Linked DNA regions of Notamacropus eugenii. The protein of the gene in region 1 interacts with the protein of each later gene in a biochemical or structural test. Links are inferred from orthologs where the notes say so. Each region holds a gene or a part of one and is shown in the gene's direction. Other genes may lie near its edges.

The links.
Region 2: the proteins of DLG1 (region 1) and RALBP1 interact in a test that uses a peptide from one of them, tested with the Homo sapiens proteins (2 studies listed by IntAct, with this or other methods). The link is inferred for Notamacropus eugenii from reciprocal best matches to the Homo sapiens genes DLG1 and RALBP1.
Region 3: the proteins of DLG1 (region 1) and EVI5 interact in a test that uses a peptide from one of them, tested with the Homo sapiens proteins (2 studies listed by IntAct, with this or other methods). The link is inferred for Notamacropus eugenii from reciprocal best matches to the Homo sapiens genes DLG1 and EVI5.
Region 4: the proteins of DLG1 (region 1) and PBK form a complex in vitro, tested with the Homo sapiens proteins (2 studies listed by BioGRID and IntAct, with this or other methods). The link is inferred for Notamacropus eugenii from reciprocal best matches to the Homo sapiens genes DLG1 and PBK.

The regions. Positions count from the first base shown.
Region 1 is NC_092877.1:387,071,539-387,078,913, forward strand, and holds the start of DLG1 (disks large homolog 1), read left to right. Parts: upstream 1-4,280; 5' UTR 4,281-4,491; coding exon 4,492-4,510; intron 4,511-4,642; coding exon 4,643-4,774; intron 4,775-7,375. UniProt on the Homo sapiens protein: Essential multidomain scaffolding protein required for normal development. Recruits channels, receptors and signaling molecules to discrete plasma membrane domains in polarized cells.
Region 2 is NC_092875.1:233,698,606-233,706,655, reverse strand, and holds the start of RALBP1 (ralA-binding protein 1), read left to right. Parts: upstream 1-4,968; 5' UTR 4,969-5,075; intron 5,076-6,391; exon of another isoform or gene 6,392-6,528; intron 6,529-7,337; exon of another isoform or gene 7,338-7,471; intron 7,472-8,050. UniProt on the Homo sapiens protein: Multifunctional protein that functions as a downstream effector of RALA and RALB. As a GTPase-activating protein/GAP can inactivate CDC42 and RAC1 by stimulating their GTPase activity.
Region 3 is NC_092873.1:504,272,869-504,280,952, reverse strand, and holds the start of EVI5 (ecotropic viral integration site 5 protein homolog), read left to right. Parts: upstream 1-5,035; 5' UTR 5,036-5,069; coding exon 5,070-5,123; intron 5,124-8,084. UniProt on the Homo sapiens protein: Functions as a regulator of cell cycle progression by stabilizing the FBXO5 protein and promoting cyclin-A accumulation during interphase. May play a role in cytokinesis.
Region 4 is NC_092872.1:524,126,779-524,134,084, forward strand, and holds the start of PBK (lymphokine-activated killer T-cell-originated protein kinase), read left to right. Parts: upstream 1-4,251; 5' UTR 4,252-4,434; exon of another isoform or gene 4,435-4,635; intron 4,636-7,306. UniProt on the Homo sapiens protein: Phosphorylates MAP kinase p38. Seems to be active only in mitosis. May also play a role in the activation of lymphoid cells.

The DNA.
Region 1 (7,375 bases):
CTCTCTAGCTTATGGGTGACCTTCCTGAAATGGATAGTCTAAAATTCTTGATGGAATGCCTTGGGGTGGGAACCAGGAAGAGCCAAGTTCAAATCTGGCCTCAGACACTTACTAGCTGGGTGTCCCTGGGTAAGTCACTTCACTCTGTTTGCCTCAGTTTCCTCATCTGTGAAATGAGCTGGAGAAGAAAATGACAAACCACTCTGGTATCTCTGCCAAGAAAATCCCAAATGGGGTGATGAAGAGTTGGACATGCCTGAAATGGCTGAACAAAATTCCTGATGGAGTCTTGGCTGGACAGAAGACAGAGGTACCACCACCTCTTTGTTCCTGGACACTGTGCCTCTCTTCATGCAGCCCAAGATGGCATTTGCTTTCTGGGTTGCCACACCACTCCCTGCTGATCCTTGAGCCTGTGGTTCACTCTAACCCTCAAATCTTTTTCAGATAAATTGCCATCTAGCTCCATTAGTCACACATCTCCTTCATCTTACATTTGTGGAGCTGACTTTTTAAAACTCAAGTCTAAATGTACTTTATCCTTATTCCATTTCATTTAATTAGATTTGGCCCAATATTCAAGCATGGAAAGATCTTTTGAATCCTCATTGTCATCCTGGATTCCCTAATACAAGGAACAAGTATTTTAAAGCTGCCCCAAGTCCTTACTGACGATTGCTGCCACGTATAAGACGGAGTCCTGCTTTGGGGGAATGGGGGAGAATGTTCTGAGCACCATTTCCTGTCCTGTCCTGGGGTGCCTGAGGACATGGGGTTATATAGCCTCCTAAATAAGGGCTTCCTTTGATGAGTGCAGCCTGTCTCCATCAGCAGCCTGACCTGGCTGCATGACTGGCTGGATAAAAGGCATTTCCCCTCTCAGAACCTCAGTTCTGCATCTATAAAATGGGGATAATCATGTTAGCATTGCCTACTTCATAGGGCTGTTGATGAGTGATGATGGGGAAATGATCTAACGATAATCTAGCGGTGTTTTATCAGGTCTAATTGAGGGTTCCCAGTTTTATTCTTCGCTCTGGAGGAAGTGCCTCAGAACAAGCCCAGAAAAACCTGAGAAGAAATTGTTTCTCCTGGAACCCAGGGTCTCCCTCTTGGCTTTCAGGGAAACAGCCCAGGAAAAGCAACATCCTAATCATGCCTGATAAGGCTCCCCTAGTCTCCCACCTGCCAAAGTAATTCCACTAGCTTCAAAAAGAAAAGTATTGATCTCCTGTCTTTATATCATCTTCATCACCAATTTAATTCCCATGTCCCTTATAACAAAGAATGAAAGAAAATCCAACAAAACTAAATAACACACCATCGTGAATGAATGGAAAAACGCATTAGTCCTTGAGGTACAAATATAAGGAGCCGATTTTCTAACAGGAGAAGGCAATCTGTGTGGTGGAGAAGTGGCCAGAGGTGAGGAATTAGAGTAAGATGGTCTGGGTGGCGTCTTGGGCAGTCAGGTGGTGCAGTGGACAGAGCACTGGGCTTAGAATCAGGAAGATTCTCCACAAGTTTAACTCTGGCCTCAGACACTTACTAACTGTGTGACCCTGGGTAAGTCTTGGTTTCCTCATCTGTGAAATGAACTGGAGAAGGAAATGACAAAACATTTCAGTATCTCTGCCAAGAAAACCCTAGAGAGTTAGAAAACACAAAGTCAGACCTGACTGAATGATTAAACAGTAAGTAGAGGGCCAGCCAGTAGACATTCATTTACTCACCAATCAGTGGCTTTGGGCCTTACCAGATCATCTTCCCAGGGTCTAGAAGCCTGTATTGCTAAGGCAGCCCCCTCCTCCCACAGGAAGCAGGGGGAGGAAGATGAATTTTCAATTATGATCCCATGTTGGTGAGTTTCCATCACCGACACTGTCCTTTCTATGTCCACTACTGTAGTCCTGGGTATATCATTTTCCTGGTTCGGTGTTCTTCATTTTGTATCCGTTCTTAGGTTTTTGTGTCCTTCTCTATATTCTTTATATCTGCCATTTCTAATGGGGCAGTAAGTAATATTCTGGTGCATTCACATGCCACCATGCCATGGGGATCGTGAGCTACTCTCTCAGCTTTCAACTCTCACTGCTAAGTCAGGTCCCTAGAACTTAGCTCCTAAGCTCCTACTCGAGTTCCCTGCACCTCCGCCTAGGACTAGCAATTGGTGTCAATGAGTCAATCAGATTAATTAGCCTTTAGATAGGGGTATTTACTAAGGTTGTACCCACCACCCCATTTCACAAGGACACACAGCGTCCTGGGGAAAGCAGGCTCACACTCTGGGTTCCCAGAGGCCCTTTTGCTGGTCTTCACAGTGTTCCCCTTCAGTCTCCTGCAGCTGCCTGATGGGATCCTCACAGAGATTTGAAGTGACTGCCTTTCCTTAATGGGTCTAGTTTGTCCTCAGCTCCCAATGCGGACAGTGATACCCACCATGATTGTCCCAAGGACGCTGCTGGGAGTCCAAAGCCTCGACCTTCCAAGAATGGGGAAGTGGGGGTGGGGTGGGGAGAGGAGTCAGGGAATCCCTCCCTGGAGAGGCTGGACTGCCACCTCTCCTCTGCGGCAGTGCTCCGAGCCTCCTGGTTGTTCTACACAAACCAGGGACACGACTGGCCTTCTTCGCAGTCGCAGCACAACCCCACCTCACCAGTGGGCATCTAGGTAGAGCGCCTCTGACGACCCAGCGACTGATCCAACAGGCCTCCTCCGGACCTGCTCCTGCCCCTGAGGCCTGGCTCTCCGCAGCTGCGAAGCAGGGACACGGAGCCTTGCTCGGACTGTTCCAGCCACAGGATGTGCCTCTCCCTCCCCCAGGTTGGCCGCCACGAGAAGGGCTGCTCCAGGCGTTGGGTGGGCACGGCCGGGCGGCCTGCCTCTGAGGTGTGCCTAGCAGCGCGGCTCCTGGGTCAGGAGGGTGGCGCTTGGTTGTTTTCGGTGCCAGACTCCGAGCTGCTGCCCAGGGGTGGCCCGCCTCACAGCCCACTGGGTCAGGAGGGTGGCGCTTGGTTGTTTTCGGTGCCAGACTCCGAGCTGCTGCCCAGGGGTGGCCCGCCTCACAGCCCACTCACGAGCCGGCACCGAGCGTGTCCATGCTGGGTCGCCTGCCCAGTCTCCTGCATTCCCGGGCCTGCGAACAGCGGTTCTCGGGGCCCTCCGGCCGTTTGTCCTTCCACCTCACACACCTCGCACAGGTGTGTGACGTAGCAGGCCTCCTCTTTCCTTCATTGGCCGCTTCCCTGCCCATCCAAGTCCCGCTGACTTTCTAAGGGAGAGTCTGATCAATTTTTTTCCATGACAAAGTGATCAGAGCCACAGGTTCGGGGAATTGGGCCGGAGCCGCCAAGGCCGACCCTGTCATGGTGTAGATGCGAAAGTGGGGGTCACAAGGACACAGTGACCCCCCGGAGGTGCGGGGCGCAGGGCCGGGCTGGGGCTGCGTCTGCGGGAGGATCGCGACAGGGGCCTGACCCTGCTGGCGGGACCGGACCGGACCGAACCTCACCGGGTTGTCACGGGCAGTAACGGATTTACCTCAGCGCTGCCAGGAGCGCCGGGGGGTCCCGGGGGCACTTTACACGCACACGCGTGCACACACATACACCTGCGCACGTCGGCAGGCGCGTGACCCTGGCTGACTTTTCCGTGCCTCAGTTTCCCCTGCCCCCCGTGGGGTCCGCCAGCTTCGGGCTCCCGTGACGTGGGGGGGCGCGCACGGTCCAAGCACAGCAGGGGGCCCGGGGCGCGGCCAGAGGAGGCGGGGCGGGCGAGAAGCCCCGTCCGTCCGTCCGTCCGTCGTCCGCGGGTCCTTCACAGAGGGGGTTCTCGGGGGCTTTCCCGCAGCCCTTGAAGCCCGGTTCGGGGCGGCCCCGGGCCTCGGTTTCCCCCAGCCCCTCGGCTCCGGCCCGAGACCTGGGCGCTCCTTTGGGGTTTCTCCCCCACCCCCACCTCCACGAGCAGCGGCGGCTCCTCCTCCGGGCCCCGCCCCGGGGCGTGGCCAGCCCACCTGCGGCTCGGCCCCGCCCGTAGACCGGCTCGGTCGGGCTGCCACCTGTGGCTCGCGGGCCCTTTAAGGCGCGTCGGCCCCGCTCCACGGGGGGGAGGGAGTGTCCGCCCCGCCCCTCCACGGGCCCCGCCCCCTAGCGTCTCCGCCCCCAGGGCCCCGCCCCCTGCCCCCTCTCCGGGGCTGCCGAGCGTTCGGGCCGCTCGGGCGCGCGCCGCCGCCCGCTCACTTGCCATTGGCTGGCGGCGCGGGGGAAGGCGGTCACGTGGGGGCGCGGCCGTCCGGCTCGGGGGCCGCCATCTTGGAGGAAAGTTTGAGGGGAGAGCCCGAGGAGGAGGGGGAGGAGGAAGGGGAGGCGGCGGCGGCGGCGAGGGAGAGACGGAGAGAGACGGAGGCAGAGAGAGGGAGCGCGGGCGGGGAGCGCGCGGGGAGCGGGCGGCGATGGCGCTGCGGGCGTGAGGCGGGGCCGACGCGCGCCAGCCATGCCCGTTCGGAAGCGAGGTGAGCGGCCCGGAGGGGAGGGGGAGGGGAGGGGGAGGGGAGGCCGGCGGGCGCGGGAGGGGCGGGGGAGGGGGCCGGGGAGGGGGCGGCCCCGCCGCGCGCTGACGCCTGCCCCCCGCCCTGTCCCCGCAGACACGGAGCGCGCGCTGCGGCTGCTGCAGGAGTACCGCGCGCAGCTGAGCCCCGCACACGACCGGCCGCTGCGGGGCTCCCTCGAGCGCGTCATCGGCATCTTCCAGAGCAGCCTCTTCCACGCGCTCCTCGGTGAGTGGGGGAGGGGCGGGGGAGGGGAGGGGCGGGGGAGGGGGGAGGGGAGGGGAGGGGAGGGGAGGGCCCGCCCCCGCCCCCGCCCCCGCCGCTCGTTACAAAGTTGCCAAGTTCGGAACTTTCCCCTTCCCCGCCCGAGGTAAAGGCGCGGACGCCGTCGGGGCTGGGGGAGAGGGAGCGCCCCGGGGCTGCGGGGGGCCTGGCGGGAGGGGGGGCCCCGTGCACCCCTTTGGGATTAAAGGAGGGTGGTCTCCTGCGGGCTGTACGACGGACACGCCCTTAGCGCGGTGCCTGGCACGCAGGAGGGGTGGCAAAGGCTGGCACCCTCTTGGAGTTGGAGGACGGGGGGGGGGGGGGGCCTTCGGGGCAAGGGGGCAGCGGAGCCCCTCCCCCGGGGGGGTCAGTCTGGGCCGGCCTCCGCCCCGCTCCGCCCGGACCCCGACCCACAGCCTCCGCCCCCCTCGGCCCCCTGCTGCCCGCCCGGGCTCCTCCCCTCCTCGCCTGGTGATGGGCAGAGAGGCGGGAAGCTGCGGCCTTGGCCGAGGGGTGGCACGCACCGTTCGTGCCCGTGCGGGTCCGCGGTCCCCGGTTCGGGTGGGGTCCGAGCGCGTGCGGCCCGGGAGCGGCCCGGGGCAGGCAGGGCCGTGAGGAGCGGTTCGGGGTAAGGAGGCTTCCGAAGCCCGCTGAGCTGGGGCGCCACCGGGAGCCCGGGGCACCTCCTAGCCGGATCGCCCTGTGGACCTCAGCCGCCGCCTTCGGACCGGCTCCGCCCAGCCGTCTCCAGGCTGACCTGCCCAGGCACCCCCCTTCCTTCCCGGAGTGAGGGCTTGCAGCTGCTAGAGGCAGGGGCCCCCCAAGACTACTCAGTTCAGCCGGGGCGGGCCGCCAGGATTGGAACCCAGGACTTTGGCTCCAGGCCACCCCGAGCAGGGCAGAGGAGTGAGGGCACAGCCTGGGATTCGGGTGAGGAGAAGGAGGAGCGTTTCACTTGACAGAGGAACGTACCGGATCCTAGCAGAGCTTTCCGGGGGCGTCCCTTGCTGTTGTGGAGAAGCCAGAAGGGTCCAGACTGGTTAACTGAGACAGTGGGCGGTTCTGTGCCAAGAGGCCTTCACCCTGGTGGACCGTTTTTCTCAGTTCTTTGGATCAAAGGACAGAAGGCAGGCTCTTCGCGTCCAGCCGGGAGGGACAGCGGACACCCTGGACAACCGAGCCCGAAAGGACTTGAGAGGCCCCAGTGTTGGGCCAGGTTCAGTCGATGCACTGCAGTAAAGATCAGTGTGAAGTCTCGGACCTGTCTGTGCCAGTGGACCTCATGCAAAGGCAGCTGTTCTGAACAAGATGGGATGGGCTTTTGTGGCCTGCGGATTCAGGATGAATTAGCAGTGACCTGTCACGTCCAGGAAAGCCGGTGAGATGTCTATGGACATCCAGCTCAAGGTGCCCAGAGGCATCAGGTGGAGCAGAGCTCCGTATCTGAGAATCATCTTCGTAGGAGCCCAGGAGGGCTGAGGAGGGCACCTAGGGAGACGGTACAGAGGGACAAGGGTGGACCGTGCAGGGTGAGGAGGCCGCTGCAGGGACGGGAACATGAAAGGTGCCAGAGAGGAGGGCTGATGGGGGCAGTCTGCTGGAGAAGATGGAGGACTGTGGGCTCCAGATTGAGGGGTTTCCCTCAGCAGGAAAGCCTTCCTTTTCATGGGACACAGGACTAACAGTACTTAGTTGTCAGAGGTGGGGACTGCTAGAATTAGCTATAGAAGTGGATTCCCTATAACTGAGAAAGCAAGCACTCTACCAAGTGCCTAGGACCTGATCAGGGAGAAGCAAACCACAGAAAATTACAGGATAATTGAATTAAACATTTATTAAGCACCTACTGTGTGCTTGCTCTTGGTTAGGTGCTAGGGATACAGTGGCTGCTCCCAAGAAGCTTACCTGCTGGTAGGAGGGAGAATCAAGTTCAGATCCGTCACACCCAGAGTGTATGGTGCCCAAACCTGGGCTGGCCTGCATAGGGCCCCTCCTCTCTTTGCCCTGCTGGTCCCACCTATTGTGGATTCAGGAAACCTCCAGAACCCACGTCTCTCTCCTGTTGGTTTTAAGGCTTCCCCAGAGGTGGGTAATATGAATAACAGGGCCCCCAGCTCTCAAAAACAGTCAAGTTTGGCAACTCCCTTGGACTCCAAGAAGATGTTGTAAACCTCTAAGGGCTTTTTACTGCCCACCTGAAATTGTTTTTGTGGTGGAATTCAGGCGTTTGACATTCCTGATTAGTCGATCTTTATTAATGAGTCCTCTGGGGTCTCCTAAAGCATAAAAAAAGTAGAGTACAGTGCCTGCCAAAGATACCAAAGTCTCCCAGGGCTGTGCCTAGGTGCTGTGGTGAGGCTGTACTGTGGAGGAGCCATCCAAGAGTCTGCACTCAACCCTTCACTGGGTTCCTAAAAAAAAACTTCACTTTTACCCTCTCACCTCCCCCTTTTTCCCCTCCATTGAAAACCTTTTGCTTGCCTCTTTTATGAGGGATAGTTTACCCCATTCCATTTCTCCTTTTCCCCTCCCACTATATCCCTCTCTCACCTCATAATTTTATTT
Region 2 (8,050 bases), on another chromosome or scaffold:
TAGACAGTCAAGAAACATTTTTTAAGCACCCCCTATGCTTAAAATGGTCAGATAACAAGCAACTATGTAAAAATAGGCTATATAAAGGATAAACTGGAGATAATCAAGAGAGATAAAGCACTAGAATTAAGGAAAGGCTTTTCATAGTTGAGTTTTAGTTGAGACTTGAAAGAAGTCAAGGAGGCTGGGGACAGGGTTGAAGAAGAGGGCAATTCTAGACATAGGGGACAGTCAGTGACAATGCTAGGAGTGTGGAGATCAAGTATCTTGTTTGACAAATAGTAAGGAGGTCAGTTTCACTGGATCATGGAGTACTGGAGGGGCTTAAAGTGTAAGTTATGAAAGCCTTTGAATGACAAACAAGATTTTATGCTTGATCCTTAAGTTGATAAGTAGCCACAGTAGTTTACTAAGTGTGTGTGTGTGTGTGTGTGTGTGTGTGTGTGTGTGTGTGTGTGTGTGTGTAACATGGTCACTTTAGGAAGACCAATTTGACAGTTAAGTCAAAGATGAGGAGAGAATTGAGGCAGTTAGTCCAACCAATAGGCTATTGCAATAGTCCAGGCTTAAGATGATAAGGGTCTTATCAGATGATAAGTGCTGGCGTTGTTAGAGGACAGAATGAGGTGCGTATAAGAGATATTACTAAGGTAGAAACAACAGGACTTGACAACAGCTGTGGATATGAAGGATGAGAAAGTCAAAGATGATACACAGGTTTTGAGCATGGGTGACTAGAAAAATGGTGATACCCCAAACAGTAATAGGGAAGTTAGGAAGAAAGGGGTTTTTTGGGTGGTGGGGAGAGATAATGAGTCCAATTTGGGCCATATTGAGTTTAATATGCCTGTAGGACTAATACAATTCGAGAACTCAAATTGACCATTGGACATACACAACTGGAAGCTAGGAGAGAGATCAGGGCTAATAAGTAGATTTGAGGACAATCAGCATAAAGATGATAATTGAATTCGTAGGAACTGATAAGATCATCGAGTGAAGTAGCATAGATAAAGAAGAGAAGGCCCAGAACAGAGCCCTGGGGGACACCTACTTTTGGTGAGAGTGCTTTGGTGAAGGTTGAAGGAGCCTTCAGATGAGGCAGGAGAGAATAATGTTCTAAAAACCTAGAGAGAAGAGAATATCAAGAAGAGGGTGACCAACAATGTCAAAGGCTGCAGAGAGGTCAAGAAGGATGAGAGTTGAGAAAAGGACATTTGATTTGGTGATCAAAAATCATTGGTAACTTTGGAGGGAGTAGTTCTGTTAGAATGATGAAGTCAGAAGCCAGATGGAAGAGTCAAGAAGAGAGTGAGAAGAAAGAAAATATTCTAGCTAGTCTTCTCAAGTTTAGCCACAAAAGGGAGGAAAGATATGGGAGGATAGCTAGTAGGGAAAGAAAGATGGATCAAGTAAGATTTTTCTGAAGATAGGGAAAAATGGGTATGTTTGTAGACAATAGGGAAATAGCCAGAAAACAGGAAGGGATTCAAGATGAATGAGAATGGAGTTGAGAGGGGAAAATCTGATAGAGAAGATAGGATGGAATGGAATGGAGTCAATTGTAGAAGGGTTTGTCTTGGCATGAAAAGGACCACCTCTTCAAGTGAGACAGAGGTGAAGGCATCTGGGTGATGACAGATCATTAGGAGGGGATAATAGTGAACTCTCAAAAAATGGTCTAAATTTTTTCAGTAAAATATAACAATATTGAAAATATGAAATATTTATAAAATAAAATATGAATTTTTTTTTAAAGTTCTTAGCTCAGAGAGTGGGTGAAAGTGGAACTATGGGAGGCTTGATGAAGGATAAAAATATTTGGTAGAGCTGCTGTGGTGAGTGGGATAGTGAGCCAACCAGAGAAGGGTAAAAGGATTTCCTTGTGGTAGTGAGGGTGAAATTGAGGTTATGCAACATAAATTTGTAGTAATTCCAGTTAGCACAGGTTTGTGATTTTCTCCAGCTTCATTCAACAGCATAGCTGAATGCCTGCTTAGTTTTCCTGAGGCTGGGGATAAAAATACAGAAGTTGTTTTCATTTATCCATAATTAGGCCCCCAGAAGTGAGGGCTTAGGCCTTGCAAATTGTTTCACAGCTTCAATAATCCTCTAGGAGACACTTTCCTATATGGCTGATGTCCAAGGCTGGACTCTGATGCTACCACTCTCTGATGCATGCTGGGTCAAAATGAGGCATTCATAGAAGTCACTGGAGATTTACTTAAGAAAAGATTTACTTAATAAAAGCCTTAATAAAAGGCTACAGTGGCACTTAATTTCTTTAAGTACAGTCCTCTTTCTCCCCCTTGGCTCTAAATGGATAGGTCACATCAGCAGGGCAGGTAAACCTTATTGGACTGAGTTTTATAAAAATATCAAGTATAAGGGACATAGATACCATATGAGGGAGAAAATCCATCAAATCTGAGGGACCTGGATTCCAGGACATGTTATATTCCCCTTAGATGACAGGAAGCTGTATCAGAGAAGTCAGGGCTAATCATATAGTTAAATTATGTAGAAAGGGAAACTTTGTTTCTTTTAGGTAAAACCTCCCCATGTTGCAGATGGGAGGAAAGAAGGGAAATGTAGTTCTGTCACAGTTGCTAAAATAGTAATGGGAAGTATTACAAAATAGTAAATGATGACATTTCCCCTGCATTGACCTCTTCTAATAATTTGACACTGTTGACCATCTCCTTCTCCATAATCTCTCCTTGCTGGGTTTTTGTGACATTTCTCTATTCTGATTTTTTCCCTACTTGCTGGACATCTCAGTCCCCTTTGCAGAATCATTATCCATATCCAGTTCCTTATATGTGGGTGGTCATGCTTGGTCATGAGTACTCCCCTCTTCTCTTTCTACACTCAGTGTCTTGGGGTTCCAGTTAATTCCCTTGGAGTCAACTATCATCTAAATACAGATGGCTCCCAAATCTACAGATCTAGCCTTGATCTTTCTCCTTAATTTTCAGTTGCTAGATGAACATTTCTACCTGAATGTCCTGCAGACATTTCAAATTCAACATATCTAACACAGAATTCATTCTTTTACCTCTAAAACCACTCTTCCTCTTAACTACCTTATTTTTGTTAAAGAAAATTCTTCCAATCATCCGGTCTCACATTCCAGGAGTCATCAATTTTTCACTCTCCCAAATCCTCCATATTCTATCAGTTGCAAAATCTCATCAATGCTTAGATCTGCACCTTATCCCTGGCTCCTAATTGATCTTTCTTCATCCATTTTCAATCTGCCTCCCACACAGCTGTCAAAGTAATTGTCCTCGACCATGTCACTCTGCTCAAAAAGCTTCAGTGACTCCCTACTGCCTCCTTTGTTTGCTATTTAAAGTCATTAGAAGTCTAGTTCTAGCATTTCTTCTTAGACTGATCAAACATTACTCTTGTTCAGGCACTTTGGCTCAGCTACTTGCTATCCTCAGCATAAGACACTCCATCTCTTGCCTCCATACCTTTATAAAGGCTGTTCCCTATTTCTGGAATGTTCTCCCTCCTTACTTCTATCTCTTGGATGCACTAATATAAAGGTTTAGGTCAAATGCCACTTCTTTTACAACAGGCATCTCCTGGTTCCCTCAGGTTGTTAATGTCAGCCACCCAATCATTCTGCATTTATTTTGCATAAATTCTATATTTATTTATTTGTGAATTTGTGGTAGTCCCCCAAAAGAATGAGGACAGAGACTGAGATCACTTTTTTATTTTGTATCCCTAGTGCCTAGCACAGTGCTTGACACATAGTAGGTATTAATAAAGGTCTGTTGGTTGATTCTTGCTGTCATATGACTATCCATCTTATACTTGTATCATATTTATTTGTATACATGTCCAAAATCCTTCCTCTCCTATTAGATTTTAAGTTTCCTAAGTTTGAGGAGTATTGTTTTTCATCCTTTTTTTCTTACTAGCATAGAGCCTTGGTGCTTACTAAATGTTTTCTTGAACTGACTTGAATCTTGGCTGTCACTAGTCTGACTTTGGTGAGCAAGTCACTTAACCTTTTTGAGCACTGTTTCCTTTATTTTAAAGAAGGATGATTGAACTAGATGATTTCTAATATCCATAGATCTTTGCTTAAAAAAACCTGAATTATATTCTTTTCTCAATCTCTTTATATTCTGCAGATTCAGGTTCAACTTTCAAAAATAAAATTCAATAAATTTAATTCCTTTATCATAAAGAATTGCTTTCTACATTATTTACATGTTGCCAAAGACAACAGACACAATACATCACAAAGTTGTAATTGACCTGGTACCATCACCTGGAATGAGATAGAAACCCTCTGGGTCTTTGACTCTGTGACTAAACCATTATTTCTGTAGAAAGCATCAACTAAGGGAATGGGTGTAATGCAATGGAAAGAGTGCTGAAGTCAAGGAAACCTGAGATTAAATTCTAGCTATCACTTACTTTCTGTGAAATCTAGAGGAAGCTCTTTAACATCTCTGGGCTTCCTCATTTGTAAAATGTCTAACAAAATTGCTTCTAGAATCTTTTCCATCTCTAAATCTATGATGATCACATCTGTGCCTAGAGGAAATAAGGTGGTGCCTACCTTAATTTTAAAATAACTGGTTTCATACATAATTCACCAAATCATTGAGGTGCATGTGGGAGAAGAATTATCTATGCATTTTATTTTTTAAAAACAATATAAAGACTAGAGATTAATAATATGCTATTTGGCATACTTCATTCACTTTATTCAACAAGTACTACTAAACAAAACTCATTGAGTTAAAGACAGATTGGAGGATACCACATAGGGCAATGAGAAAGCCAAGTATGGGAACACATAAAAGAGAAATTAGAAGGGCAGAATCAGTCCTTTCTAGCTCTGACATTTTTCTAGTTTAATGAGGCAGCAACTGTTTGGATTGCAGGGGGTGGGGAGGAGGGAGGAGTTAGAAAAGATTTCCAAGTTCAGTGTGGGTGGGGAGAATGAAGGGCAGCCTGGTGTGATGATATAAAGTTCCTAATGGACTTTAAGTCAAGACACCAGGTTTTGAATCCCCGATCGAGTACTTTCTAGCGTTGGACCTTGGGTAAGTCATATAACTTCTCTGATTCTCAATTTCTTAATCTCTAAAATGGGGAATGATAATAATCGTATCATCTATCTCAGACTCGATGGTAATGTGTTTTCACTCTTAAGTGCTATATGCATATAAATTTTTAACAAATGTCCAGAGGAGTTTGCGGGGGAAAAATTCGAATCCAGTTTTAGAGGAATTTAAATTAATTGGGGAAATCCAGGGAGTTATTTACCCAGGTGATGGTTGAACCTAGGGAAGCAGGTGATTCTCATCTCTTTGTCATTGATGGATGCATCAACACTACAATGAGTGGGGGGGGGGGGGGGGCTTTTGAGGATGGGAGAGATTTAGCGTTTTATGGAGTTTCTTGGTTCTCCAGTGGTTATCATCTTGCAGGTTTTGTAGACAATTTCGCTTATTATTTCTTATGATTCGTTAATCCAGGTGTGCATGCGGGTCACCGGGTCTCCCTGGTCTGAATTCAGGGTTTGCCCTCTTATCACTGTGCCAGGTTAAGTTGGTGGAGGAAAGCAGGTCACGCAGATCGGATGGTACCCCTAGGACCCAATCTCCCTTCCCTCCTTCCTCCCCTAGTGTCTCCCCTCCCCCGCCCCATCACTAACTCAGCATAATTCCTCTGCTCGCTTTGTTGCAGAGGTGCGTACTAGGTAGCGCCCGCCCTGGTGCCAGCTCCAGCTCTTGGTACCACCCCCCGTAAACCCTTTGCGATCCCCACCCTCCCAGATGCCAGGAAGGCGTCCCATCCCCGGCCAGGAACTTGGGCTGCGCTTTGAAACTGGTTTAACTAGTTTTTCGGGAGCTGGCGGCCGGGAAGAATGAAGCCCGCAGGGGCAAAGGGAGGGTCTGGCCAGCGGAGCACAGGTAGGGGCGGATGGCCCCTTCGGGACTCTGGGAAGGCTTCCAGGTGGGGCGCTTTCGCACAAGCTGCAGCGCTTCTCCAAAAACACTTCATCCCAACTTACACGTCCAACCATCCCTCCCTGCGGCTCCTCCCCCGGCGATCAGTGCGCAGACGCACGAGATGTGCGCGCTCTGCCACGGCGGGACGCCTTCCGGGAGTTGTAGTTCACCGCCGAAGGGGACTCCTCCACCAAGCCGAGCCCTTCGATCTCTCCGAGACTACAGCTCCCGACGTCCTCCGCGAGAGGGCACAGAGCGTCGTGTCTTTGACGGCCTCCGCCGTCGTCCAAAGGGAGTAGAGGCAACCGGGGAAGCCGGCAGCGGCGGGAGGAGGGGATGCGCTTGCGCGTTGCCCGGTTGGCCCCGTTCCGTCCCAGTCATTGTAAACAGGCGGCGGCGTAGAAAAGCTTGGGTGGGGTGGCGATGGGGTGCCTGGGGCTTGCCCGTGGCGCGGCCGAGGGGGCGGAGGCCACGGCGTGAGCGCGAGCGCGAGGCGGCGGCGGCGGCGAGGAAGAGGTCGGTCGCACCGCGGCTGGGGCAGGTCAGTCGCGTGCCCGGGAGTCGCAGCCCTTGACCCTCTCGCACTCTGTGGGGAGGGGGCGGGGGGGCTCCCCCTCCCTTTCCACCGGGCGCTGCGCCCCTTCTCTTCCCGGTCCCCGCACCACGTGAGGGTCTGATACTTCCGTCTCCCCAGTGCTTGTCAGGTGCCGCCCCCCTCACCTTTGACTTCGGGGGTTGGGGGCGTGGTTTTGAGAAAAGCGGGGTGTCAGGCCCTCACCCCCGCCCCCAGTTTACCCCGGGATGCCTCTCCTTGCCTGGACTCGTCCGGCCGCGTTTGTGCCGGGGTGTCTGGGAGGTCAGGAGGTCAGGCTCGTTCTTCTCACCTTCAGTGCTAAGAGACCTCCAAAGGGGCCCCCCAAGTCAGCCTTTAACCTAGAGCCAAAGGAAACCTCGGGACCCGGAGAAGGCGTTGGGGGTCTTCGCCTGCCGGGATGGAAGCCCGTTAGGATGTCAGGGTGTGCCGTTAGACGCTGCGGTGGCCCCTGGATTTAGGCTTCAAAAGGTGGAGAGATGGTAGAATCCTAGATTTAGAGCTGGGATGGGCTTTGGAAGGCAGATCCTGCTTTGGACCCTTGTTATTTGTGTGCTAGTCACTTCACCTTTCCGAGCCTCGGTTTTCTCACCTGTAAAATGGGGATAATAAAACACTATCCCCTAGGATTGTGAGATACCTGTAAAGCGAGTTGCAAACTTGAAGGATGGCTAGGAAATGCTGTTATCTAGTACAGGGGGTTCCTAAGGTAAGGCTCATTGTACCCAGAGCATAGAGTTCATGAACTTGGATGGAAAAACATTACGTTTTTTATTTTCACTAGTCTCTAGCTGAAATTTATAATTTTATTTAGTTTTTTTAAAACGTTTTTTAAGCTCCACACGCTTCACCAGCCTGTCACCAACCTGTCAAAACTCCCTGCACTTTACAGGTGAGTGGTTAAATAAGTGGCAGGGTTTGAGTCCAAGTTCTCAGAATCCGCATTCAGCATTTTTCCCCCAATTGTTTTTCACTGGTTTTTTCTTCCCACTGGAATACTCTTTCTCCTCACCTGCTGCCTCCCTGGCTTACCTGACTTCCTTCCTGTCTCAGCTGAAATCTTACTTGCTAGCTTTTCCTGATCCTTCAGTAAAGCTTCCCTACCCTCTAAGATTATCTCCAATGTATCCTATGTTGTTTGTTCATATTTGTTACAATGTTGTTCCCCGTGTTAGACTGTGACCTCCTTGAGGGAAAGGATTGTTTTTCTTTTCTTTTTTTGTATCCCTGACTTTTAGCACTGTACTCGGTACATAGTAGGTGTTTAACAAATACTAGTTAACTTGACCTCCTCTTTTCAGGATTAAGGCTTTTTTGAACTCACTTTTCAGATTCTTTTATGCTAAAACACTCTTTTTTGGGGGCAATTGGACAATTGGGGTAAAGTGATTTGCCCAGGGTCAGCTGGTAAGGTCTGAGGCTGTATTTGAATTCCGGTGCTATATCCTAGCTGTCCTTGTGCTGAAACATT
Region 3 (8,084 bases), on another chromosome or scaffold:
ATACACAAATACACACACACACAGAGGCAGTAAAGGGGGGTAAGGGGGGAATTCCAGGGGATATCTTCTTCTATGGAGTTGAAACAAGGCAGAGCAGCAGATGTCAAATGGAGTGACCTGAGAGTCCATTTTCTGACCTTCATCCTCCAGCCTTCCAATCAGGAGGCTAAGGGAAGTGGTGTCAATCAAGGCTTGAGTTAGCAGCACGATAGATTAGACAAGGATGAGTTTATCCTGCCCATCTTGTTCGGTGGAACTGAGACCAGGCAAAGTGGCAGATGCAACGTGTACTCACACTTGGGACCCATAGTATCTAATGGGTATCACTAGGATTATTATCCTTGTTTTACAAGTGAGGAAACAGGCGTGGAGATGCTAGTAACTGGCTGGACAAAGATGATGTTAATCACTGTTGTCATCAAGTCATTTGACAAGTATATATTCAGCTCTGCTCAGCCTTGGGGATACAAAGAAAGGGGAAAACCAGTCCCTACCCTCAAGCAGATTAAAATCTAATAGGGGAGACAACAGGCAAAAAAAACATATGCAAATACCAGATAAATTGGAAATCATTTCATAGGGAAGGCACTAAAATTAAAAAGTCCTGGAAAAGATTTTTTTCTTTTTGTGGAAGATGGAACTCTAGCTTAAACTTGAAAAAAGCCAGTAAGTGGAGTAAGAGGTAGAGATGGGGAGGGGGAGAGTGTCAGACATGGGAATGAGGCTGTGAAAAATAAAGTTTCCCTGATTATCTTTTTAAATTAGGTCTATTTTTTGCTTTTTGCTTTGTCTGAAATGAATCCTGTCACCTCGCTTTTTTACTTCAGCTAAAGCATATTGGATTCTACTCCAATCCTGTATTTTAACTCTGTATTTATCTTTTTCCTTCAAGTGCATCTCCTATAAAGAACATATTGTTGGATTCTAGTTTCTAATCCATTCTGTGATGTGCTTCCATTTCATTTACCGTTGTGATTACTATGTATTTTTCCCTATCCCATTTTCTTCTTTTTCTTTTCTTCCTTCTCTTTTCATCGTATTCCTCCCCAAAATCCATTTTGCTTCTATCCACTGTCTCCCTTAATCTGCTCTGCCTTATATCATTCCCCCTCCTTGCCTTTCTTTTATCTCCTTCTCCTCCTATTTCCCTATTGAGTAAGTGATATTTCTACCTATAGCTGAGTGTGTGTATATGTATATATATTCTTTCCTCTTTGAACCAAGTTAGATGAGAATGAGGTTCAAGCATTGCCTGCTTCCTCCCCCATTGTCCCTTCCACTGTAAAAGCTCTTCTTTGTGTGCTTTTTTATGTGAAAAAAATTTCCCCATTCTATCTTTCCTTTTCCCCTTCTCTCAGGGCATCCCTCTTTCTCACCCCTTCACTTTTTGGGGGAGGGGATCATTCCAACATAATAGACTCATGCCCATGCCCCATGCCTTCTGTCTATGTAAACAACTCCTTTTAACTGCCCTACTAATGATAAAGTTCTTAGGAATTACATGAATCATCTTCCCATATAGGAATGTAAACAGTTTAATCTTATTGAGTCCCTTATGATTTTCATGTTTACTTTTATACTTCCTTTGAGTGTTGTGTTTGAAGGTCGAATTTTCTATTCAGCTCTATATCATCTCTGATCTTTTAACTCCTTTAACATGGAAGCTGCTCAATTTTGTGTGATCCTGACTGTGGTTCCATAGTACTTGAATTGTTTCTTTCTGGTTGATTACCATGTTTTCTCCTTGATTTGAGAGTTCTGGAATTTGGCTATAATATTCCTGGGAGTTTTCATTTGAGGATCTCTTTCAGGAGGTCATTGGTAGAATCTTTCAATTTCTATTTTAACCTCTGGATCTAAGATATCAGGGCAGTTTTCCTTTATTGTTTCTTCAAATATGATATTTATAGGTTCTTTCTTTGATCATAGTTTTCAGGCAGTCCAATAATTCTTAAATTATTTCTCCCTGATCTATTTTCTACATTAGTTATTTGTTTTATTCAATGAGATATTTCATATCTTCTACTTCTTTCATCTTTTGACTTTGTTTTATTGTTTCTTGCATGGAATCATTAGCTTCTAGTTCCATACTTCTAATTTTTGAGGAGGTATTTTCTTCAGTGAGCTTTTGTACTTCTTCTTTCCATTTGTCTAATTCTATTTTTTAAGTTATTTTCTTCAGTGAATTTTTATGCCTCTTTTTACTATTAGAGCAATTCTACTTTTTAAGGCATCACTTCTTCAATATTTTTGTACCTCTTTTACCAAGCTGGTAATTCCTTTTTCATAATTTTCTTGTATCACTCTCATTTCTTTCCCCAATTTTTCCTCTACCACTCTTTTCTTTCTTTCTTTCTCTTTCTTTCTTTCTTTCTTTCTTCCTTTCTTCCTTCCTTTCTTTCTTTGTTTCTTTGTTTCTTTGTTTTTTTCTTTCTTTCTTTCTTTCTTTCTTTCTTTGTTTCTTTCTTTCTTTCTTTCTTCCTTCCTTCCTTTCTTCTTTCTTTCTTTCTTTCTTTCTTTCTCTCTTTCTTTCTTTCTTTCATTCTTGTTTGGCTTGTGTCCAATTAGCATTTTTCTTTGAAGCTTTTGTTGTAGCTATTTTCATGTTGTTGTCTTCTAAATTTATATTTTGTTCTTCCCTGCCACTGAGTAGCTTTTTATGGTCAACTTTTTTTGGTCATTCTTATTGTTTTAAGTCATTTTTCTAGCCTATTTCTTGACTTTGAATTTTATGTTAAAGTTGGGCTCTGCTCACCTGGTGGTGGCAAAGCACTGTATCAAGCTTTAGGTTTTTTGGTGCTATTGTTTTCAGAGTTAGTTATGGGGGGGGGGTGGAATCTGCAAGTTTTTGGTGCTTCCAAGGTGGTGTGATCTGATGAGAAGTAGGATCCTTGCTCTCCTGTTCTGTGCTATAGTCACAGCAACCCTGCTCTCTTACAGCTGCAAAAACTAGCATTCCTATTTGTCTTGGAACTGTGACCAGGGCTTCTGTTCCCTGATGACCAACCAACCTGATGACCAACAACTTTGCCCTGGGACCATGACCCAGAATGGCACATAAGCAATAGAATTGTCAGTCAGTATCAGCTGTATTCCATGCCAGCAAAGGGTCTTTTGTAATCTCTTGACCAATTGTCAGACCTCCTTACCATCTCTGGGCTAAGAGTTCGTGAAACTGCTGCTACTACTACTGCTGTTGATGCTGCCTTTTGTGCATACTCCAACAGGCTGTCTGTCACAGCCCTCTCATGCAGACCTAAGTTTCCTTAGGCCAGAAAAATGTCTCATCCTGAACTTTTGTTGACTCTCCTGCTCCAAAATTTGATCTGAGGCATGATTTTAAAGTTGTTTGGAGGGGGATGTTGAGAGAGTTCAGCTGGGTGGCTGCCCCTAATCTACCATCTAACTTGGCTCCCTTTTTATTCTAGTTGAAATTCATTTATAAGCTAAACCAGAGAAGATTTTGGACATGTTTGATCTTGAGTTAGTCATCTGTGATCATTTATTAAGTTGGTAACCATTTACTAAGTGCCTAGTATGTGTGTATTTTGGACATGCTTGATCCTAAATTAGATGGCTATCTGTAATCATTTATTAAGTTAGTAACCATTTCCTAAGTACCTAGTATGTGCCAGGTACTATGCTAAGTGCTGAGAGTTGTTTTTATCTCCCATTATATAAGATTTAACTCAGCCTGGGGGTAATCTGGCTGACTGGCTTTTCTTAGCTGGATTTAATGGCTATGACAGTTCTTATTCAAGCAAGCTTCTAGTCAGTGTACTTAAATAGACTGGAACTAAGATTGCTTGAAGGCCTCTGAAAGGATTACCCCAGAAAGTGAGAGCAAGGAGCAATACCCAGTGGAGACTGGTTCCAGCAACCTGCAGAGTAACATTTGGTAGAGATTAAGTAGGTTGGTGGCCAGTGAGTAGAGAACTAGACTTTAGGTCAAGAAGTCCAGAGTTTGAATTTCTGCCTCGGATGCTAGCTGTGTGTACTTGAGCAGGTCACTTAAAACTTTGAGGATAATAATAACCAACCTTCCAGGGTTGCCATGTTGTTATTGTTCAGTCATGTCCAACTCTCTGTGACCCCATTTGAGGTTTTCTAGGCAAAGATACTGGAGGGGTTTGCCATTTTCTTTACCAGCTTATTTTACAGATGAGGAAATGAAGGCAAACAAGGTTCAGTGACTTGCCTAGGATCACACAGTTAGTAAGTGTAGAGGCTGGATTTGAACTCAGGAAGATGAGTCTTCCTGATTCCAGGCACAGCAGTGTATATCCATTATGCCACCTAGCTGCCCCTACTATTTGCCAGGCTCTGTGCTAAGCCCTAGAGAGGATACAAACAAATACAAGCCTGCCCTCAGGGAGCTTTTGACCCAGTGGAGGTCAACACCACAGAAAGGGAGGTGGAGAAGTGTGTGTGTGCGGGGTGACTTTTAAGTGACTAGGAGGTTTGGTTCCAGGTGAGAGAAGACCTATCAGATAGAGCCCAGAGTCCCAGGGGCAGAGTTCTGGAGGGAGGGGGCTGATAAGGAAGCTGGAGGCAATATGGCAGCATGGGTGGAAAATGGCCAGGGAGCATTATGATTGTAAATATCATGCATCTTCTAGAACGCAAAAGCTTGCAATGTAGAAGCGTCTCAGCAACAATTTGAAGAATAACCCAAAATGAAAAGGTGAATGCAGAATTTCTGGAAATCCACCCAAGTAACACTGAAGGGGAGTTAGCCAGAGGACAAATTCCAGAGGCTGGAGCCTTCTATTTGGAAAAGCCAATTGCCAAAGTTTCAGAATTTGTCTGAAATGAAACAATGGTTAAATGATCACCCCTCCCCCCTTTAAAATTCCATCAATTTTTAATCAAAACACAAAACAGAGAAACCCTTTATGCACCGGGTCTAGTCAGTCCTCCACAATCCCAGCTTCCCATAGATCTAACCCCTAACAAATTGATGGTGGGAGGAAAACCGAGCGGATCTGGGTGGAGTGTGGCGCAAACCACTCCCCATGAGTCAGCTGGAAATTGAATTCAAATTCCCAATCTCCCTCGGTTCTTGGCTTATGATGGTTACTCTTAAAATGACTACTGCCCCTGGAAACCATACTGGGAAACAGGTAAGACCTGGAAATATTTACCTGGAAATCAAAATTGTTTTTAAAAATGAAAGGTTTATGTTTGAGTTAAGATTTGTGGTCTCTGTTTATTCTGAGAAAGGGAAAAAAAACAACCCACAGGAGCGGAAGCTTTTACTTCTCATGTTTCATTTGAAGAATTGACTTCGTCTGATTCGCTCCAGGGGAGGGGGAGGGGGACATCCAGGAATGCATTTGACTAATGGCAAGCCTGCAGAGAAGGAAGCTTTTCCTAATTCTACAGCATCTTGTCGTTCTTGCAATGAACGTGTAGCGAATAATCCTGGAGGAAGAGTCACGGTAGAGCCGGCTGCGTGTCTGGGGTTCTTTCAGCTTTTTTGGACAGCGCCACTGGCTAAGGAAAAGGATTTATTTCCTTAATCATCCCAGCGCCCAGCTGTTCTGCCCTGGGGGTTGTCAGTCAGTAAGCATTTATTAAGCACCTCCCTGATGTCATGGTCCTCTTGGAGAATAAAGGACAAATAAGAAAAACAACTGTAATATCTATGCTGCGGGCACTTGGCCAACAGTTCCTGCGTTCAGAGGGATCTCGTGATATCAGACTCAAAGGGGGAGGGAGCACAGTCTAAGGTACCGTTTACAGGTGATGCACTGCAGTTGTGACTGAGAATCATTGAACTCAAAGAAGCTGAGACTCTGAAAGGCATTTTGCGGGGAGGGGCTTTCAGAATGAAAACTTCAATTTTATTTTAACATTTTTTTAGGGGGAAAGGGTACGGGATTTCATAGATATGGGGAACCCTTGGAGTAAAAAGCAACAACTCCCTCTACAAAGCAGCAACTCATCTGTATTTTTAGAAATCACAGATTTAGGGCTAAAAAGGGATCCCAGAGAAAAATAGGGAGAAAGCTCAGAGATCATCCAGTCCGAGGGTTCTGGAATTGGGATTCCTAAAGGGAATCCATGGCCAAGTGGATAGATTTGGACTTGCACTCAGCCAGACCTGAATTCAAATAATGTCTCTCAGATACTTATTAGTTGTGTGACCCTGGACAAGTCACTTAACCTGTCAGCCTCAGTTTCCTCATCTGCAAAATGAGGATGATAATAATAGCACCTATCTCATAGGGTTATTATAAGGACCAAAAGAAGTGCCCGGTTGCTGCCTCATGGGCAGAGCAAATATTGTCCTCATTAATTACTTCAGTGACTTACAGTCTTCCTGGAAGTTTAACGAACACTGTACTTGAGTCACAGGTTGACCTGCTTGAACAAGTATCTCAGTTATAAGTAAGTTTCTATGGTTTCTTCCTCTTAGACAAACCAGACAGTGCTTCTTTTCATATAACTGACCTTTTTTGTTTTTTGTCATTGAGTCATTTTTAGTTATGTCTAACTCTTTGTGACCCCATCTGGGGTTTTGTTGGCAAAGATACTGCAGTGGTTTGCCAGTTCCTTCTCCAGCTCATTTGATAGATGAGAAAACAGAGACAAATGGGGATAAGTGACTTGCTCTGGGTCACACAGCTGGCAAGTGTCTGAGGCCAGATTTGAAATTAGGAAGATGAGTCTTTCTGACTCCAGGCCTGGCACTCTATCCATTACACCACCTAACTGCCCCATAACTGACCTTAGTCCCCAACTATACCAGGAGTAAGAGAATGAGTTTTCTGTGGAGCAACAGCCTAGCTTTTCTATATCTCTGCTTGCACAATAGCAAAATATGCAGACTCTTGAGAGATCATGAACATAGCCTTTCAGTGGGCAAGGTTCCAAATTGGGGCTCAAATAAAAATACAGCTAATCACTGAGTCTCAGAATTAGATGGAACTCAGTAATAGGAAGGGGTCATCTAACACAAATCCTCGTTTCACAAACTGAGACCCAGAGCAATTAGGTGTTGTAATGGATAGAACAGTGGGCCTTTCCAGTGAGTCAGTCCAGAGTGATGCTGTGATGTTATATGATATAGCAGGGGGCAGAAGGATTGTCTAGTCCTTTCTTTAGAACAATGAATAACAAGTAAATGGATGAAATCTGAAGCATTTTTGAAGAGGCTGCCACTGATGGCTGCACAGGCTCTCCTACAGTTCTGGTCTGCATGCTGCTGTCCCAAGCAGCAGCAACCCTTCCACCATCAAATATTCATTAAGTACTTATTGTGTGCAAAGGATTGTTTTTGGCTCTGGTCAAAATGAAAAGTACCATTCCACATGATAAATACACTTGAGGGTTATCAGTAGGGGAAATAATCTGTGGTGCAAAGATCTGATTTAAATCTTGGCTCTGCCACTTACTCATTGCATGACCTAAGGGAAATCACTTAACCTCTCTGGATCTCAGTTTGCACATCCTTCTCTTCTGGGGATTGGACTTTTATCGTTGTTCAGTTGTTTTCAGTTTTGTCTGACTCCTCATGACCACATTTGGGACTTTGTTAGCAAAGATACTAGAGTAGTTTGCCGTTTCCTTCTCCAGCTCATTTTACAGATGAAGAACCTGAGGCAAAGAGGGGTCAGTGACTTGCTCAGGGTCACAAAGCTAGTAAGTGTCTGAGGATTGAACTACATGCTGTTATATCTGATCTTTACATTCCCTCATCTGATCCTTGAAACAACTCTCTGAGGTAGGCACCAAAAACATTGCTATTTCCACTTTATAGACGAGAAAACTGAGGCTAAGTGGCTTGAACATAGTCACATAGTTAGAAAGTGGCAGAAGCAGAATTCAATATATAAGCTTTTCTTATATCCAGGTGTAACTATTTAACCATTATATAACCCTGTCTGTCATTAATGATTTTTAAGATCTTTTCCAGAACTGATATTCTGTGATTAGATGAAAACAAAGAACTGTATGAGGTCTGAGAGATAAGGTGATATTGATCTCAAGGATCTGGGAAGGATTTCTTGAGAAGATAACATTTGAGTCAGGCTTTAAAGGTTGGGGGTAGTGGTGGTGTGCAATTTTGATTACATAAA
Region 4 (7,306 bases), on another chromosome or scaffold:
AACAGCATAAAAAGCATTGCATTTGTGTGAGCAAGTGTAACCTCCATTAGGGAGAGACCCATTCATTAGGAATGCAGAATAATTGGCTAAAATAAAAACAGAACTTTCCTGGCTTCACATTGAGTATTGTTCTTTATTTAGAGTGAGCATGTTTCTCACAATGGAGAATGGAGGAATTTATGACCAAACAAGAGATAGAGAACATTATGAAATGCAAAATGGATAATTTTGATAATTAAATTGAAAAGCTTTTACATAAACAAAGCCAATACAAACAAGATTAGGAGAGAAGCAGGAAACTGGGAAAAAAGTTTTACAGTTAGTGTCTGTGATAAAGGCCTCATTTCTAAAATATATAGAGAACTGAGTCAAATTTACAAGAATACAAATCATTCCTCAACTGATAAATGGTCAAAGGATATGGACAGGCAGTTTTCAGAGGAAGAAATTAAAGCTATCTGTATTTACATGAAAAAATGCTCTAATTCACTATTGATTAGAGAGATACAAATCAAAACAACTCTGAGGTACCTCGTCACACCTATCAGATTGGCTAACATGACAAAACAGGAAAATGATAAATGTTGGAGATGTGGAAAACTGGAACACTAATTCATAGCTGGTGGAGCTATGAACTGATCCAACCATTATGGAGAGCAATATGTCCAAAGGGCTATAAAAATGTGCATACTTTTTGACCCAATAATACTACTTCTAGAATTGTATCCCAAAGAGATCATAAAAATGGGAAAAGGACCTACATGTACAAAAGTATTTATAGCAGCTCTTTTAGTGGTGGCCAAGAACTAGAAATTGAAGGAATGGCTAAACAAGCTGTGGTATATGAATGTAATGGAATACTATTGTGCTATAAGAAATGATGAAAAGACAGACTTCAGAAAAACCTTGAAAGATTTACGTGAACTGATGCTGAGTGAAGTAAACAGAACTTGAAGAACATTGTACACAGTAACAGCCATAGTGTTCAATGACTGATTTTGATAGGCTTAGCCCTACTCAGCAATGCAAGGACCTAAAATATTTCCAAAGGATTCATGATGGAAAATGCCACCCACATCCAGAGAAAGAACTATGGAGTCAGAGTGCAGAATGAAGCAGACTATTTTTTTCTTTTTCTCTTTCTCATGGTTTCTCCTGTTCATTATAATTCTTCTATGAAACATGACTAATGTGAAAATGCGTTTAATAGGAATGTATGTGTAGAGCCCATATCAGATTGCATGCCATTTTGGTGTTAGAAATAACCAAGAATTCTACAAGGCTATGAGGGAATTTAGAAAAAAAAAAGAGTTTTACTTCACATTTAAAAGACAGATGACTTGGCCTTCAAGCTGGTGTAAGAACACATAATGCAAGTTATGTAAGTCTTTATAATTCATCCAGACTTGAATTTTTGCCTTGAACCCCATTGATCAACATTCCAGGGTTCACTAAACCCTACCTCTTGATTACATCTTCATTTACTTTATTCTTTAAAGGAATACTCTTAGTCCCTTCCCCTTTTGTCTACATCAGATAGCATGATTAAAGAGCTTTCAATTGCTAAGAGAACTGACAAAAGTGTGAGTTCGAAGATTCCAGGATATCAATAAAAAAAGATGGTGATGGGGTGCTTGGGTGCCTGTGCTTGGATCCCAATTCTAAAATCACATTTCTCTCTAAAATCACATTTCTCCCTAGCCTCAAAACACTATCCCAGGCAGTTTTCCCCAGCCCAAGTACAGCCTGCCATAGATCTTTCTTCCTAATATAGCAGCCAGCAGCACCTATAGGATTTATTAGTTTGAACCAACTGTGTACTGGCTGAACTGGCTGTGTACTGGTTCATAAAGATATTTACTATTCACTGACCAATCATATGTATCCTAGACTTAGAAATGTGTATACTTCCTTAAGTTTATCTGCTCTAACAAGATATTGATGGGAGCAGCCTGAGTATTTCTCAAGTCAACCCTGGCCATTAGTTGACTTAGTGACATTTTAGGCCTAAAACCACACCCATGTAAGCCCTCTTTGGGCTATTTCTGATGAACTCTGGGTAAAATATCTGTGCAGTAGATACTAAAAGTGCATGTTCTTTTAAGAACTAACCACTCCTTAATCACTCCCTAATCCCACCCTGAATCACCTAGTTAGCAATTTTGGCACATACTTCACTATAGAATATTCTATATAAACTTTAATTGTACCCCTCTAAGGTTGTAGGTTCCCTGAGAACTCTTGCCTGCTGAAAAGTGTAATAAATCTTTACCACTTTGACCTCAAGAATGATTGAGTCCATGAATTCTTTCAGGATGGCCCACCCAAGGACTTCCAGTCTTTGGGTTCCTGTACCTTTTCAACGCTCATTAGTGGGTTTATGGCTCTCATTCTTATCCTCTGTGGATGAGAGCTGGCCTGGCAGTTGTTTTTGGTATGCAGGGAGAGGCCTTTTCAGAACAAAGAAAAGTACATTAGAACCTCAGTTTTCAAGTAACCTGTTTTGCTGAACAAGGAAAAATTTTTCACAAAATTTGTCTTGCAGGACAAACAAAAATTCGCAGTACAAACATCATGTTTGGACTTGAGTAGCTTGAGAAGGGAGGACACTCAACTAGGGCAATTTTTTTTTTTTAACTCATATAAGATTTGCATGCTGTCATGGGGAGGGAGCGGAGAGAGGATGGGAGAAAATTTCAAACTTATGGAAGTGATTGTTGAAAACTGAAAACAAATTAATCAAAAAAATGTCAGACAAGTGTTGTTAGATAGATTCCTAGTCAGAAGCGAATGTAAAAAAAAACAATCAGTAAGTCAAAACATGAAAGTGATTCTAAACAATGCAAAATAAGTGAAGGCAGTAGTGTTAGTCTTACTTTTAGTGAAAGTAACATAAGAGAAAACACTTCCCAGGTTGAAATCTCTGATGTTCTCATAGGAGATCCTTCTACCAAGCAATAACCCTTCCTCCTCCTCCTCCTCCCTCTTCTCTCTCTCATACCAGCCATGACTGTTCTCAAAAGTAAAGTGTAGGTTAATTTATTTCATTTTCAGTTTATATTGTATACTAATCATTGCTATTGTATTTTGGGTCCATTAGGGACAAAAAACTTAAAACTGTAAAGAATTATTTTTACATGAATATGTTTGGGGATGTGATACCAGTCATCTGACTTTACATTATTTTCTAAGGGAAAATTTGCTTTGCAATACAAACAAATCACACGATGAACAGAATCTCAGAATGAATTAAATTCATAAACTGAGGTTTTTCTGTAGTAGATACGCTGATTTCCAGGACTAGCATTCCCCACCCACCACCTTATACAAGCAATTTTTTCTCTGACATTAACCATCAATATGAATTATAATTTTATTTAATTTTTGTGGAAACAAAATTTAATCACACCTTGCATTGGAGAGAGAAGGGGGAGGAATGGGGAGAAAATTTAAAACTTCTGAAAGTGAATGTTGAAAACTAAAATTAAATAAATAAGTTGAAAAAAAGGAAGTTAAAAAAGTCTAAATTGCTTTCAGTAAAGGGTGATACTAAATAAAGTTTTAAAAAAGAGAAAAATGGACAGATAGATGATGAGATAGGTTGATGTAAGGAAAATAGGGACAAAGAGAGATGATGGAGAGCTGATAATCACTCACATATCCAGAGATAATAGATTGTATACGTAAATGGAAGATAGTTCATGAATAGATACATGTAGGATAAAGACGGATGGATGGATAAAGAGATAATAGATGATAGATAACAGAATGCTCTTTAGGTAACTATAGGTAGATAAATAGATACATATGGATAAATGGATGAGCGATGATAAGGAGCACAATGCTCCTTAGGTAGATACAAAGGGATGCCTAGGTCCGTCAATCAATCATAATCAATAAACGTTATGAAGTAGCTACAATGTGAACGGCGCCGTGCTAAGCTCCTAGAATGAAGACAAAAAAAGCAAAAAGTGTTTCTGCCTCCATGGAGAAGAAATACAGACTAAGCGGGCTGCGCACAGGCCAGATAGGAGGTGCTCCAGTAGGGGTTAGGGAAGGTGGGCAGAAGGTGGGATCTCCGCCAGGAAGGTGAGGGGAAGAGGGGCAGAGACAGCCGGAGAGATCGGGAGAGACGATAGAGCAGGATCTACAGGTGGACTGCAGATAGAACAGATGATATGTGAATATGTCTGTGTGTACAAACAAGAACTCCAACATGATAATGAACCGTAATCAATGGGGAGGGGAAGAGGCAGAGAAAGCGAAGGAGCGAGGCGGGCAGGGAACGCGTTCCCACGCAGCTTGTCCCTCTGTCCGCCCCGTAGGCCGCAGCGCGCGGGTTTGAAGGCGGCGGGCGTTCGAATCTCAACGGCTTCGGTGGAGTCTGCGCGCGGAGGCGGGTCCGGGCGCCCCCGCTGATCCGTACCTGCTCAGGTGAGTCTGCGAGCCGCGGGAGGAGGGTGGCCGGGGCTTGCTTGTCTCCGCCGGACCCCTCCCACTTTCTGGGGAGTCCCAGCCCCCTTCCCTCGGCTGTGTGGAGACTGAAGCCCCGGGCTCGCCCCGCTGGGGCGGCCGAGCTGGTACTCGAACCCGGGGCCTCCGGAGCCGGGTGACTGCGGTCACCGTCGGAGTAAAGTGCGTTTGTGGTAGCCGAACGGGTAATGAGTGACTTGAAATGAATAAGACAAGGATAAGCATTCCCGCATGGGATCGGCCCACAAGCTCTAGGGGCCCTCGGTTATTTTGTTGAAGAACGTAAAGGGGTCCTGAGACCGGGAGGATGGAGAAGCGCGGCTGGAGAGAGGGGCGTCCTGGCTTCTGGGGTCCGGGCCGGGGGCCCCCGAAGCCGCTTCCAGCCTGACATTCGCTCTGCGAGCCTGCCGTCCCTTTCCTGTGGTCTCACAGCCATTCTTTTTCCTCCTGCTTTTTTCTTTCCTTCTTTCCTGTAGGGTTTTAGAGGAGAGAGAGGTACATAGAGAAACAGAAGAAGTGTAGAGAGACCCCCAGAGAGAAACAGAGACCGACAAAGAGAGAAAGAAACAGATACAGTAACTTATAGAGAGACAGAAGTATAGAAAGAGAAACAGATCGAGAGAGAGAGAAAAAATAGAAAGTATCAGAAATAAAGAGAAACACAGAAACAAAGACAGAGAGAGAAAATGTTATATTCCTTTTGTAGGAAATTGATGAGTCTCTGGCACTCTAGGAGGGTGGGAAATGTGATTTCAGCAGTGTACACATTCACTCCATCCACTGATGCAGATCAATGGGCTTTATAGCATTAAAGAAGTTAAGGCTCTCTCTACACTATACCCTATGATATAGTTTGTGTCTTTATAAGACTATTTTAGAATCTGGCTGGGGAATGAATGAGTAAAAGAGCATTTATTAAGTGCTTACTGTGTGCCAGGCACTATGCTAAATTCTGTAAATACAAAGGCAGTCAATGAGAATTGATTAAAACACTAGAAGGATCAGGCATGACAACTGATGCAACAAAATTTATTATTTTAATTTGAAATAAAATATTTCATTCTATCTCTACTTTTTCTTTCCTCTTGTGTATTTTTTAAAAAATGTACTTTGTTAATTGACTGACTGCAGCCTGGTCCTGTAAGGTATTTTTAAATTCTGGTCCTTTTATTAAGCACTTATTATGTGCCAGGCACTGTACTAAGCCTCAAGGATACAAATAACTTGCAAAAAAAAAAAAAAAAAAGAAGACAGTCCCTACCCTCAAATTGCTAACATCCTAAGGAGGGAAGATAATACATAAGCAGGGAACTAACAAGTTGGGATTGGGGAGAGAAGGTAGCAGAACAGGGACATGGTGGCAAAGTCCCTAGAATGATGGCTGGTCTGGGCCCTCCCTCAAAATGGAATTTCCAGGAAGAGCTCAGTGGAAGAGATTCATAGAGAGCCCCTTCATGGTGGTAAAGTTCACTTAGGTACTGCCTGCTCTCTACAAGGTGGGAGAGAATATATTTTGGTGTCTAGGGAAGGCACTTTTCATCTGAGGAGTCACTGGGATGCTGAATTGATCAACAAGCCTTTGCCAAGGGTCTACTGTGTGCCCGGAAATGCTGAGCATTGGAGATGAAAGTTAAAAGTAAAAAGGTCCCTGCCTTTAAAGAACTTATATTTTAGCCAGGGCAGAAGACGTCCATATGTGTGTATATACGTTTGGGAGTAAGGTGAGGGTGATCAAGGCAAAAATCTCTGAAAAAGGTAGCACTTGAGCAGAACCTTGAAGGAAACCAGGTCCAGGCATGGGGAATGGCCAATGCAAAGGCACAGCGATGGGGGATGAAACAATAGTTTGTGAAGATCAGAAAGAAGACAAGTTCAGTTGTACTAGTGCATATGAAAGGGAATAAAATATAATAAAACTGAGAAGTGTTTGAGGCCAAATTATGAAGGGCTCTCAATGACAAAGATTTTATATCTGATTCTAGATGTAGTCAGCCAGTAAACATTAAGTATATACTATATTTATTGAGTGTAGGTGGGAAGTGGTGACCACAACATTGGTCAGACTACTTTAGGAAGATCATTTCAGCAGCTCTGTGGTAGATGAATTGTAGTGAGGAAAGACTTGAAGCAGGGAAGCCAACCAGAAAGTTGTTGCAAAAGTCCCAGAGTATCTTTAGGTGATAGGGACCTGTACTATCATGGCAGCTGTGTGAGTAGAGAAAAGAGAATGTATATAAAAGTTGTTAGACTTGGCAGCAAATTGGCTAAGTGGAGTGAGTATGTGGGGAAACGATGACACCATTTGTAAGTTTGGATGACTGGAGGATGGTGCTGCCTTCCCAAGAAATAGGGAAGTTCAGAGTAAGATTTGTGGGCAGAAAAGATAATGTGGACATGTTGAGCTTAAAGAGTCTACAAGACATCAATTTCCAGGTGTCCAGTAGGCAGCTGGCGATGGAACACTGGAGGTTAGTTAGAATTGGACAGATAGATATGAGAATCACCTGCATAGAGACTGTCACTGAATCCATGGGAGCAAATGAGATCACCAAGCAATATAGCAGAAAGGGAAAAGAGCAGGGGGCCAAGGAAAGAGCCTGGGAGGAAACCGATGATTCGTGGCTGTGAGCTGGATGAAAATACCAAAAAGACTTAAGGAACAGTCAAGTCAGCAAGCATTCATTAAATACTTACTATGTGCTCCAGGGGTGGGGATGCTGCAACCTCAAGGCCATTTGTGGCCCTTCCACAGAATCCAAACTTCACAGAATAAATTCCCTTAATAAAAAGATTTGTTCTGTAAAACTTGGATTCAGTCAAAAACCTGCACCCA